Linked DNA regions of Oryctolagus cuniculus. The protein of the gene in region 1 interacts with the protein of each later gene in a biochemical or structural test. Links are inferred from orthologs where the notes say so. Each region holds a gene or a part of one and is shown on either strand. Other genes may lie near its edges.

What was found. The genes of interacting proteins can lie anywhere in the genome.
Region 2: the proteins of MAPK3 (region 1) and PTPN7 form a complex in vitro, tested with the Homo sapiens proteins (3 studies listed by BioGRID, with this or other methods). The link is inferred for Oryctolagus cuniculus from reciprocal best matches to the Homo sapiens genes MAPK3 and PTPN7.
Region 3: of the proteins of MAPK3 (region 1) and ELK1, one has a biochemical effect on the other in vitro, tested with the Homo sapiens proteins (6 studies listed by BioGRID and IntAct, with this or other methods). The link is inferred for Oryctolagus cuniculus from reciprocal best matches to the Homo sapiens genes MAPK3 and ELK1.

The regions. Positions count from the first base shown.
Region 1 is NC_091450.1:7,472,576-7,476,771, reverse strand, and holds the start of MAPK3 (mitogen-activated protein kinase 3), read left to right. Parts: upstream 1-1,248; coding exon 1,249-1,421; intron 1,422-2,385; coding exon 2,386-2,568; intron 2,569-4,196.
Region 2 is NC_091444.1:17,996,950-18,001,144, forward strand, and holds the start of PTPN7 (tyrosine-protein phosphatase non-receptor type 7), read right to left. Parts: upstream 2,954-4,195; 5' UTR 2,865-2,953; exon of another isoform or gene 2,787-2,864; intron 1,826-2,786; 5' UTR 1,709-1,825; coding exon 1,650-1,708; intron 1,223-1,649; coding exon 1,039-1,222; intron 736-1,038; coding exon 651-735; intron 1-650. UniProt on the Homo sapiens protein: Protein phosphatase that acts preferentially on tyrosine-phosphorylated MAPK1. Plays a role in the regulation of T and B-lymphocyte development and signal transduction.
Region 3 is NC_091453.1:33,155,461-33,159,755, reverse strand, and holds the start of ELK1 (ETS domain-containing protein Elk-1), read left to right. Parts: upstream 1-1,342; 5' UTR 1,343-1,562; intron 1,563-4,295. Other genes in the region: protein UXT, read left to right, coding at 161-287. UniProt on the Homo sapiens protein: Transcription factor that binds to purine-rich DNA sequences. Forms a ternary complex with SRF and the ETS and SRF motifs of the serum response element (SRE) on the promoter region of immediate early genes such as FOS and IER2.

The DNA.
Region 1 (4,196 bases):
TGGCCATTGGGGCCATTTGAGGCGTGAAGCAGTGGATGGAAGATCTCTCTCTGTGTGTAACTCTGCCTTTCAAATAAAAAGGAAATATATTTTTAAAATTTGATTCATTCATCAAAAAGAAAATTTTTTTAATGTTTCAGTGCCAGGCATGGGGGTGGGAGGTGGGGATCCAGTGAGGAACAAGATTGACCTTGGCCCCTCTCAGCCTACTGAGAGAATCAGGAAGATGACAACCCTCTTGTGAGTTCAATTTTGCCAAATCCAACAAGCTGGATTTTTCTTTTTAAGATTAATTGATTAATTACTTTAAAAGAGTTACAGAGAAGGAGAGGCAGAGAGAGAGAAAGTCAATCTTCCATCTCCTGATTCAGTCCCCAAATGGCCCCAATAACCAGAGCTGGGCCAGGCGGGAGCCAGGAGACTCATCTGGATGGGCCCACATGGACGCAGGGGCCCAAGCACTTTGGCTGTCTTTGGCTGCTTTCTCAGGCCATTAGCAGGGAGCGGGATTGGAAGTGGAGCAGCCGAGATGCATATCGGATGCACCTGCTATGTCACAGCGCCGCCCCAGATTCTTTCCTTCTTCAAGTGTATTTTAACGAAACCTGCCCACCTGGCACGCACGTGGGGGCAACAGCTGGCCCTGCTGCAGCTGCTGGGAGGGCCAGGGCCTGGACCCCACGCCGGCAGCAGCACCTCGGGCTTCGGCCTCACCCTTAAACGGCAGGTGGGTCTCCACGCGGCTCTGATTTCAAGTACACTCCCTCGGCAGCCGAGCAGAGCTGGCTCAAGGAGGCCAAACCACCAAGGGCCGAGAGGACCCCCAGGGGGCTCCCACAGGAGCAGCTCTGGTCCCAGAAGGCCAGGCACTCCGGGGTGGGGGGCGTCCGGCCCCAGCACACCTTGGCCGGGTGGCCCTGGGGAAGTCACCCGCCAGCTGCCTAGAAATCGAGGGGGTATGGACCGCGCCTACAGCCGCCCGGCGCGCCCGCTCCCAGCACACGGAAGCCCGCAGCGACCAAGCACCGCTGCCCGGCGGCGGGAAAGCCGGACGCGCGCGGGGAGGGCCACGTGACGTCCGCGGGCGCGCGCCCCGGCTCCGCGGCGCGCGCAGGGCGCGGGGGCGCGGGGGCGCGCGGGGGCGGCGCGCGGGGGCGGGGCCTGGCGCGCGCGGCCCCGCGGGCGGGAAGGGGCGGGGCCTCGGGCGGGGCCGCCGTGGGGAGGGCGGGCGGGAGGGGAGGAGTGGAGATGGCGGCGGCGGCGGCGGCTCAGGGGGGCGGGGGCGGGGAGCCCCGGGGAGCCGATGGGGTCGGCCCGGGGGTCCCCGGGGAAGTGGAGGTCGTGAAGGGGCAGCCGTTCGACGTGGGCCCACGCTACACGCAGCTGCAGTACATCGGCGAGGGCGCGTACGGCATGGTCAGGTGAGGGGGCGTTCCGGGGGAGGGGGCGGCCTCAAGGGAGGGGGCAACCCCGGAGGAGGGGGCGGAGGAGGGCTGCAGGGGGCTCGTTGGGCCGTGGAGACTTGGAGTGGCCTGTAGAACCTGGGCACTCTGGAGGCTTGGTGGAGTATGCCCGGGATAGGAGCCCTGGGGTGCTTTCTGGGGGAGGGGGCGCTGCCCATGTTCCTAGGGGAGGGGGCTTGGAGGCTTTGAACGGGAGCCCTCCGCCCCGAAGGGAGCAGCGGTATTTGGGTGTCTGGGGTTGAGGGAGCGGTGGCCCTAGAGACCCGCGTGGGGCGACGAGAATCAGTAGTCTTGGTGAACGAGGACCCTCTTTTGAGAGAGGGGACCTTAGGGTGCCTTGGAGTCCCCAAGCGAGGCTGTGCCCAGGAGTGGAGCGGCACAGGCAGGGCTCTGGGTGGGGCGAGGCTTCGGGCCTCCGGGCCTGAGGAGAGGTGGGGAGTGCCTGCTTGCCTGCATCTTGGGGAGGGGTCTGGGAGCTGGCCCAGCCCTACTGTGTGCTTTGGGCCTTTGCACCGACCGGAAGTTGCTCTGCTGTCCTCGGCCCAGACCCGCCCCTCGGTCCCGCTCCCTGGCCCTGTGGTGGGTTGAGGCAGCCCATGGTGGGGAGGGAGGCCCGGGCTTGGGCAGAATGGAAGGGGGTCAAGCAGAGGGGAAGTCAGCGAGTGGCCAGTCTTCCTCTGTTTGTGAAGTCACCGAAAGGCGGCCTGGCTGGTCCCCAGCTTTCTCCCTGGAGAGCCCAGGCCTTCACAGCAGGAAGGAACGAGCATTGTTTATAACTTGGCCAGAGCCCTCTCCTGCTCTGTCCCCTCCCTCCCTGCCCCTGGCCTGGGTGGGGCCCGCTGGGCCTGGTTCCCGCTCCCCCCCCCCCATCACCACCACCATCATGGCCACACCAGCAGCGACGTCTCTCTGGGCCTCTCAGCTCAGCCTATGACCACGTGCGCAAGACCCGCGTGGCCATCAAGAAGATCAGTCCCTTCGAACACCAGACCTACTGCCAGCGCACGCTGAGGGAGATCCAGATCCTGCTACGCTTCTCCCATGAGAACGTCATCGGCATCCGGGACATTCTTCGGGCTCCCACCCTGGAAGCCATGAGGGATGTGTATCCTACCCCTGGGCCTCCAGAGCTGGGCTCCCCCCTGCCCTGCCACCCTCCCAAATGAAGGCAGTGACAGGCCAGAGGCCCCTCCCCCCCTGACCTGCGGCTGTCAGGCAGGGGGACCTTGGACAGGTCCCTTCTTTGCCCCAAGCCTCCATGGGGAGCCTGGGCGCCAAGGTCTCTTTGGGCTCTTTGTTTTCTGCTGTCTGCAGTTATGTGACCTGCTCTGCCCACGGTCACTTCTTGCTGAACAGACTGGTGATTCTTTCTCTCTGGATCCCCAGACTGGAAAGACAGCAGGGAGGAAGAAAACTGCTTTTTCTTGAGGGCCTACTGCGTGTCAGGTGCTACCCCTGCCTTTGGGTCCCAAGGATGAGGGGACTGAGGCCCGGAACAGCCCCCAAGCAGGTGTCTCTGTGGCTGCCTCACCCCTCCCCCACGCGGGAGCTGGTCCTTATCTTTCTCTGGGACTTCCTGCTCAGAGCCTCGCCCTGGTCACCCGCGCACCTGCCCCTTGCCCAGGGAGGGACAGCTTAGCCTTAATGCCCTCCCCCAAGAGTGCTTTTCTTGCTCCTTGTCCACTTCCGGCCTGGCTCAACCTGGCCTTGCGACACACGTCGCCTCCTCGCCACCCACCCATACCACCTGCTGGTCCCAGTCCAGTCCTCCATCCAAGGGTGGGGATTTGGGTGCCATGGCCAGAGCCCTGCCACAGACCAGGGACGGGAGATTTCCATACTCACCCAGCTTGCCGTGTGACCTGGGGCAAGTCACTGCATTTCCCTTTGAGAGAACACAGGAGATCTAGGCCGGGCCAGATGTTCTCTGAGCAGGTGTGCTGTGGGGGGTGTCTCCTCTCTCATTGTCCTCCCACAAACAGGCAGGCATTTTATTTTCATGCAAAAAAATCAAAATACTTGGATAATTTTTTTTTAAGATTTATTTATTTGGAAGGCAGAATTAGAGAGAGAGAGAGGTCTTCTATCTGCTGGTTCACTCCCCAAATGGCCACAATGACCAGGGCTGGGCCAGGCTGGGCCAAGAGCCAGGAGCTTCCTCTGGGTCTCCCACATGGGTACAGGGGCCCAACCTTTTGGGCCATCTTCTACTGCTGTCTCAGGCACGTTAACAGGGAGCTGGATCAGAGGTGGAGCAGCCGGGACCCGAACCAGTGCCCGTATGGGATGCTGGTGTTGCAGGCGGCAGCATTACCCGCTATGCCACAGCGCCAGCCCCCCAGGAGCTTTTTGAAGACCCCTTGAATTAGTGGACTTTGACGGGGTTTTTTGCACCAGAATCAATTTCAGTGATTTTTTTTTTTAAGTCCCCAGTGGAGATTTGAGGCATTACTGGGTGGACCCTGGAGCTGTCACTCTGAACCGGCATGTTCTCCGGCCCTGGACAGCTTGTTAGTAGCCCCATTTCCCAGGGCCGCAGGAGAGAATGCTCGGGGTCACCTGCCGGGGGTGTGAGAGGCCCTGTGCCCTGCTGCTGAGTTCAGCCCGGCTCTTGACAGGGGTTAGCAGATCTGCCGGGTCCCGGGGACCCCAGGTGAGGGGACGTGCGGGGACGTGCAGCCGCATCACCAGAACCTGATTTCCTTAACTGCGTGCCTCCCCCTGCCCCCTGCC
Region 2 (4,195 bases), on another chromosome or scaffold:
TTGCAAACCCATGGAAGGAGGCTGTGTGACCGGGGCAAGCCCACCAACTGCTCCACGCCTCGGTTCCCTCGCCTGTAAAAGCGCCAGCTCCCTGGAGTTACTGTGTAGACTGTGGTGTGGTAGGCGATGGGTGGAGCTGCCGCGCGATGCCAGCATCCCATAGCGGAGTGCTGGTGGGAGTCCCGGCTGCTCCGCGTCCCACCCAGCTTCCTGCATGTGCGCCTGGGAAGGCAGCAGAGGATGGTCCACGTCCTTGCGCCCCTACTACCCATGGATGGAGTTCCTGGCTCCTGGCTTCCGACCTGGCTGTTGCAGGCCTTTGGGGAGTGAACCACTGGATGGAAGATCTTTCTCTCTATCTTCTCTCTCTTCTCTCTCCCTCCCCGCCAATCTATCACTCTGCCGCTCAAACAAAAAAAAAATCAGCCTTTAAAAAAGGAAAATGAGTTACTATGAAGGCAGTGCCTGGCCCACAGCAAGCACCTGCAAAGGGACTGCTGTCGCTCCTGGGATTTCACCTCCTCTTCCCCCCACCAGGGGTGGTACTGCTATTTGTCTGCCGGAAGACGGTGCTCCAAGCGAGGTCAGCCTGTGCACCTGCCAGCCCCAGCACGGTGCCCACCTCCCTGGGTCTCAGGCGCAGCCCTTACTTGGCAAGATGGTCCTGTAGCGGTCCTTGGAGGCATGCCCAGGGATGTCCAGGTCCTCGGGGCTGACAAAGTTGGAGGGAATCTTCTGGCAGGGCGAGAGGAAGTGGGTGAGCGGCACTACCTTCCCAGCCTCCTTTGCTCCCCTTGCACCCTTTCCTGGTGGAGCTGGGCCCTGGCTGTGCCTTCTTGGCGTTTGTGTGGAGGTGCGGATGTTGGGGAGGGCAGAAGAGGAAGCCTGCGGGCAGCCTCCAGCCCGGAGCCCTGGACTTCTCTTTCCTACGGAGCCCAAAGAGGAGGACCTGCCCCCCATACCTGCTGGAGAAGGGAGCCGGCTGGCTGCTCTGCACCAGGAAGGCAGAGTGTGGCAGAGCGCGCCCCAAGTTCTTACCAAGAATTCCTCCTCCAGCTGCTGGGGGCTGGGCGGCTGGTGCTGCAGAGCCCACCGGGTCAGGGGGTGTCCAGCTGTGCGCAGGAAGTGCAGGGTGACCTCCCGCGGGGTGCTCACCGAGCAGATGGGCTCCACGGCCCCCAGCGACCGGACGTCCAGCATCAGAGCCACGTTGGAGCCCCGCCTGCAGGCACAGCCACCCGGAGCCGAGTGAGCACCCGGGGTACTGGCTTCCCTTGCAAGTGTTGTCATTCCAGGGCACATGGGAGGAAGCTGCTCCGCATCTTCCCCATGACCCAGGGGCCCAGTGGGTGCCAGGGGCCAGGCCTGCTGCACGCCCTTCTCCCTTGCTCAACCTCGACGCCGACTGCTCCTTCCAGCGGCCGGCCCCTTTCCGCTGCCACCCCAAGCCCTGAGGCTCGGGCACCAGGAGGGCCCCTGGCCTTGCCCCACCTGGATGTAGGGACGGGGCTCAGGGTTGACGTGAAGCCTCATGCCCCAGACATGCAAAGCACATGCAAATGAGCGCCACTGGTTTCCTGTCCAGATTGGGGCCCGCGGCTGAGCGGAGGCTCATGGAGGCAGGGGCCCCCTCCCGGGGAAGAGCTCACCTTTCCTGCAGCCGCACATGCCTCTTGGCAGGTGCTTTGGCCGGCAGAGGCTGGGTCATGACTGCCCCCCACGGCGAGGTTGCTGGCTGTGTTTTGGAGCGCTGCTGCCACAGGCCTGGACCATGCTGGGGTGGGGTGCTGGGCCCAGAGGAGGCTCGGTTGGCCAGGAGGTCCCCCTGAAAGATGGGACCCTCAGTGGCTGGCCTCTGGCTGCCTTCTGTCTCTAAGTGCCTCTGCTTCCTCTGTGGGAGGTCTGTGTCCCCCAGCACACGGCCTCCTTGTCACCATGGGAGGGCCCGCACCTCTCTGGTGGGACCCAGGGCAGCAGGCGGTTTTGGGTGAGAGTAAGGGTGTGATAAGGGCTGGAGATTATGGGTGAAGGTAGGAAAGACAGCAGAAGGAGGAAGAGAGAGCAGAGAGGCCGGAGACCAAGGAGCCCAGGGCTGGAAGCTGGGGTCCGGGTGAGAGAAGGCGAGGGAGGACGTAGGAAAGCTGGGCTCCATGCAGAAGCAGAGGGGAAGGCGCCCCAGATCTCTCCTGCAGGAGGAGGTGGAAGCCTCTGGTGGCTGGAGGGCCAGTCAGGACCCCGAGCAAGCCGGGCTGCTGGCCGCCAGCAGGATCCTCCCCCAGCTGCCGGCATTTCCACTTCCAAGTTCATTTCTGGCTTCTGGGGTCTCTGTCCAGGGAGGTCGGCTGGGGATGTTTCCTTCCTCCTCCTGCCCATCCCCCCTATCTCCCGCCTCTGTAACCGTCACAGGAAATGGCCTCACCAAGCCCTTGAGTGACAGCGCGTGGTGAGGCGACAGCCCGGGGCACGAGAGGGGGGCACGGAGGTGATGGGACCACCTCCTCCTGGGGGGCAGCCCCCATCTCCCCAAGCCAGGGTCCCAGCTGCGAGATAGCACGGGGGTGGGTGGGAACTGTGGGCCCGCAGGGACAGAGGTGAGGGGACAGCGTGGGCCCCGGGCAGGTGTGGTGCATTGAGAGTGTTCCCCAGCAGGTGCGGATCCTCTGGCCTCTGTTCTCCTGCAGCTGCCTGTGGCTGCCCTGCGCTCCCAGCCTCGGGCCCTCGGATGTGCCAGCACCCAGTCCCCACCCGACACAGCAGCCCCCGACTCACCCTCGTGCACGCCCTACCTGGAGGCCCCGGCCGGTCCCTCGGGGCCCACGCCACCCCAGGGCGGTAGCACTGCCAGGTGCCCCTCTGGTACTCACTGAAGCAGCCGTGTCCACCAGGCTGCCTCCTGCCAGCTGTCTGTCGGTCTGTCTCTGAGACTGGGGAGGCTCCAGGAAGCCAGCTTCCTCCCTCCGCCCCTCCGCACTGCCACCCACGCATACCCCAGCTGTGTGCTGCCCTCTTGCGCCTGCTGCTGTCACCACCAGGGGTCCCGTGCCTTCTGCCTGCGCCTGCCCAGGGCGGCCAGGCTGTGTCTCAGCTCCTTTGCCGGGCCCAGGCCCTGACCACCCCATTCCTCTGGCTCCCATACCCTCTTCACTCCTGGGGGTTTCTCCTCTGGGCCTTAGGCCTGCCCAGCCCTGCCCCAGCTCCACTCCGTCCCACCAAGGACCCAGCTCGCTCCTGCGTCACCTGACTTTGGCTTCAGACTTCTTTCTACTTCTTCGCTCCTGCCCAGAGCCCTCTCTCTGGAAGCCCTCGCCGCTGTAAGCCTTGGGCCAAGCATAGGCCGCCTCCCCCCAGAGCGGTGATGCAGGAAAAAGCGGAGGCAGGGGTCTGGGGTTCCATGACTAGAGACAAAGGCCTCTCCAGGTCTCTCCAGTCCCCAAGTTCCTCAGCACGGGGGAGCAGAGAGCAGACCCCCTTGGGGAGAGTCTGAGAGGTGTCCCCCGGGCTCCAGCCCCAGCCAGACCCCCTCAGAGAGCCATGACATCCACCCAATAGACTTACACACTGTAGACAGCCTGGCCTCACACCAGCCGTCTCCACACGTCCTCTTCACTGCCAGGGCACCTGGATGCCTGGAGCCTGGGGAGCGGCCCCCAAGTCCAAGACTCCACTGACCCCTGCCCCAGCCTGGCCAGCAGCCCAGCAGGCTCATGATGGCCGCACGTCTGCTCGCTCCTTGCAGCATTCCCGACACATTTCCCGGCCCGGCCTCTGCCAGGCACAACCCGCATCCTCTCTCCTCCTCCCACTTCTCTGATTCAGCCGTCACACAGTGACAGCAACAAAGACATGATGTATAAAAGGCTCAGGAGGTGGGCACCCCGAGGGGGCGGTGGGGAGGGGGCTGGCCTCTGCTTGCCTGTGGGGGAGAAGGTTGAGGGGAAGGACAAGGATGCCGCTTTGGGGCTCAGAGGTCTTTAGCATCTGCCCTTGCTCCTGGAAGCAGGGACAGGGCCTGGCTCCTTCTTCCTGGCGCCTGAGCCCCTCTGCAGAGCAGGTGCATGTCCCAAGGAGGCGGCTGGTTAGGGCTGGGGTAGCCCGGACTCTGGTGCCCAGGTCAGGGTGGCGAGCAGGGGCCTGGGAGTCCCTAGCATCCTTGTGGGTGGTGACCGAGGCTGGCTTCTACCTCGACCCCCACAGG
Region 3 (4,295 bases), on another chromosome or scaffold:
CCAGATGTGGTTAGGGTGATGACCTAAAGAAGGGAGAGAGCCGACGAAGGAAAGGACCATCTTTCCTTCTAAACTGGATCCAAGGGCGGGGAGGTCAGAGCAAGCCTGAGGTGGGGCCTGGACCCGTCCCTTGTTAAATCCTTTCTGTCCTTTTTTTCAGGGGCTTAGAGAACTACAAGGCCTGCAGAATTTCCCAGAGAAGCCTCACCATTGACTACTTACCGCATCCTCCGACATTAAAGATCCTGAATGCCTTTGAGTCACATGGCCCTTCTTTTTCCCCCTAACTCCTGCGGGTTGCCAAGGCACCCTGTTTCCAGAGTCCAGCATTAATTGGAAGATCTAGTTTCTCTATGGATCCTTTAAAGCACCCTGGAAGTCCTGCCTCCGGCCTATTGCCTGGCAGCATTTGCTACTTGACTTTAGGCTCTGCCCTCTGTCACCATGGCAACCTCACACACACACACCCTTCCTTGCATTCCTTTTACTGGCTATCGCCCTTTGAATTGCCATGGAGAATGGACAGGTTCAGGGTGGAGGTTTGTTCCCATGGCAATCAGCCTTTCACTCCTAGCCCTAAGGTTTAACCCTTCTCCCAAATCCCAATCGTTCCTCAGGTACCATCAATTACACCCACGCCAGGCTCAGCCCAACCTTGGCCTCTGCTTCCAGTTTCCACCAATAGGCGCAGAGCCAAATTCTGCCCTCCCTGGTCCAGCCCCCCAGTCAGCACAGAGCCAGGTTCCGCCCCCTTAATAACTCTAGCCACAGCTTGACCCTGTCTTTTCTGTGAGCACTTAGTTTCTCAACGCTCCTTTGCGAGTCTGGCAGCCATCCTGCCCTCCTACCCCCGCTCCCTTCTAAATTCGTCCCTTCTAGCCAATCACTATAGAGTTACCCTGCCCGCCTACGCAGAGCCCGGCTGGCTGCTACGCCCATTTCTATACAAGTCCTGCTTCCGCTAAGCAGCGTGGCGTGCAGCACCGCCTGCTTGGTGTTTTGGCAGCTGTCTAGGAGTCTAATCCTCCAATCAGCGGAGAACAGCACCGCACCCCACCCCGGCCCGCGCGCCCGCCATTCTTAGGGGCTGTCTGTCTGCCATCAATTCCGTTTAGGCCAATCAGTGTGAGGCAGGCGCCCCCAAGCTTATCAATTAACCACGATCTGTCGGTTCTCTTTGAGCCAATCAGCGTGGAGCACCGGCGAGGGCTAGCATGCCGCCTCGGGACTTGGGTGTCCGTCCGCGCACATCATTTCTCCTTCGGCCAATCACGGAATGGCTCTGTGGGGCAGGGTCCGCCCCGCTGAGCCCCTAAGCCGTGCGTTCTAGCCTTGGCTCTTTAGCCAATCAGCAAGCGGCGGGACGTTGGGCTCCTCCTCCACAGGCCCACGTGAGCGGTGGGGAAACGCAGGGGCGGCTTCTAGGTGCTGCCGCCGCCACCGCCACCACCGCCGCCGCCTCGGAACCCGGGCCTGGGGGGCGGTGGGGCCGCGTATGGAGCCCCCGCCCCCCGGAGCTATTAACACCAGCTACGCCACCGCCACTGCAGCGCTACGCACAGGTGAGCCCCGGCCTGGAGGGTGGAGGGTCCTGTCCATGACCCCATGTATCTTCCCGCCCCCGCGCGGGGAATGTGGCTTGGCCCGTGGCCTGCTAGTGTTCCACTCCCCACTGCCGCCCCACCACAGCTGGTGGACCTGCGTATGACATGCCCTCTCCTCCCTTCGCCTCTTATAGTGGATCTGACCGTGGCCTAATCGTCCCCCTTCCGCGGTATAATGGATCGGTCTGCGTGCTTCTATTCTCCACACCCCAATTTACAGTGGACTCGTCCATTGGCTTGCCCCACCCCCCACCCCCACTTATAGAGAGCCAGTTTGTGGCATTGTCCAGCCCCCTTAATAGTAGGTGCGTCTGAGTGTTTGCGTTTCTTGCACCCTTAACTTTCGGGGGCCCCTCTGTGGCCTTGTTTATTCCACCCGTCCTGTTCCCCATAGCGAATCAATCCGTGGCGCTATATCCCACCACCAACACACACACGCACAGACATACACACTCCTGTTTAACAGTGAGTCCACCTGAGTATGTCCTTGCCTTCTCCAGTCCCCTAATGTATCAGTGCATGGCCTTGTCAACGCGCCCTCCCTTTTTACGGTGCATCTGTCTCCAGGCTTGGGCTCACATCCCCCGAGCTAGCAGCCCATTGCCCTGCGTGGCCTCCCTGTTTTGTACACTGCCACTCCAGTCCTTGGGCTTTCTCCTTTTTCCTACAGGAGTCAATAAGTTTTTTCTACTCCTCTCCCTGCTAGCAGATGAATGTTAGCCCTGTAAGGTATCTGTACCATGGCCTTCCTGCCCCCCCCCCCCCCCGTGTTCTTGCATTCCCACTCTGCCTTACATACCTCCCCCAGGAGGGTTAGCCTGTACATTTTTCTCTTCCTCCCCCTTTCCTTGTGGAGCACTCTCCTTCGTACACACTCTTAGCCACCCGGATATCCTGCCACCACCACAATGAATGAATACATTAGCGATAGTGGTGATGAGAATACCAAGAGGAGCTAACATTTATTGAGCATCTGCTATGTACCAGGCAAAGTGTTTTATTTTAGGGAACTCAGTCGGTCCTCACCAGTCTTAGGAGATAGGTACTGCAGAAATGGGAGCATAGGGAGTTAAATGCCTTATTCAAGGGTGGCCCAGTAAGTGCTAGGGGCACAGAACAGTTTTTGAAGCTCCCCTCTCTCACTTCATCCCACCCCGTGTGAGACCCTACTCCTTTAAAACCAAAGTAGTTCCCACCTCCATGGTTTTTTCTTTTTTTTTTTCCGTTTCCGGTGCCTGCAGAGCTGTCTCCATGCCACACCTTGTCTCAGCACCCAGCCAGCCCCAGTCCTTTTAGCTGGGTGACCCCACAGGCATGATTTAATCATGTTCTCCCTGCACTTGGTTTCTCATTTGTAAAATGACGGAACCGACTAGAACCCCCTCCAGCATAAATACAGAATACCTGTGAGTTAATGAAACAAGTCACTTCTCTGGCCTCCACCACCCCACCCCCTCTAACTGTGCTCCTGGCTACACTGGCCACCTCGGCACTGGTCTTCAGACACAGTAGACGTGCCCAACCTCGGGCCCTTTGCATTGCTTCTTCTCCCACTCCTCTGGGAGCTTTGCTTGGCTCCTTTCAGGGCTCTGTTCAAATGGCACAGGTGCATGGCACACACTATGTGAAGACACATGCAAAATCAGCTTCGGAGAAGGCCAGTTTATATGTGAACAAGGTAGGTGCATGTTGCTTTAGCAAAAGAATGCGTTCCCAAAACGAATACCTGTAATACCAGCTCGCCTAAAGGCACAGGTGGAAAAGCAGCTTCTAAAGAGCGCTTGAGGCCGGCGCCATGGCTCAGTAGGCTAATCTTCTGCCTTGCGGCGCCAGCACACCGGGTTCTAGTCCCGGTTGGGGTGCCGGATTCTGTCCCGGTTGCCCCTCTTCCAGGCCAGCTCTCTGCTGTGGCCCGGGAAGGCAGTGGAGGATGGCCCAGGTGCTTGGGCCCTGCACCCCATGGGAGACCAGGAGAAGTACCTGGCTCCTGCCTTCGGATCAGCGCGGTGCGCCAGCCGCAGCGCGCCGGCCGCGGCGGCCATTGGAGGGTGAACCAACGGCAAAAGGAAGACCTTTCTCTCTGTCTATCTCACTGTCCACTCTGCCTGTCAAAAAAAAAAAAAAAAAAAGGAGCGCTTGAACTTGGTTTCATCTGGGTCGTGTTATTGCAGTAAACAGTCTGTTCCATCATGCTGTGGTGCTTGGGATACACTACTTAAAGGCACACGCCTTACAAAAAGTTGCTCAGAATGCTGTTTCTAGCAAAAAAAGAACCAACTTCTCTTGGCCACCCCCTGATCCTGCACACTTAGCAGAGCTCAGGCCCCTCTCCTGTTTTGCTTGTCCCTTTGCCCTTTTCTGCTTTCTGACACTGGCCAGTTTACTGTTTCTCCCCATTAGAAGGGTAGTCCTATGAGAACTTATGCTTTTTGTCTGCTTATTGGCTGCTGTGTTTCCAGTTCACACACACAAAAAAGGTAGCTGGTATACAGTAGGTGCTCAGTAAGAATTTATTGCATGAATAGATGTGAAAAATAGAATTTCAGACCTTGATATCAGGGACAGAATGGAGAAGGGATATGAGAAGGAATGAAACAGGCAGAAATCCATGCCCTTGGAGGCAGACCGTGTAAACAAGACAAGCGAAATAAGATGGTCTGTTAAACAGGTGCTAAGGAGAAAACAGGAAGT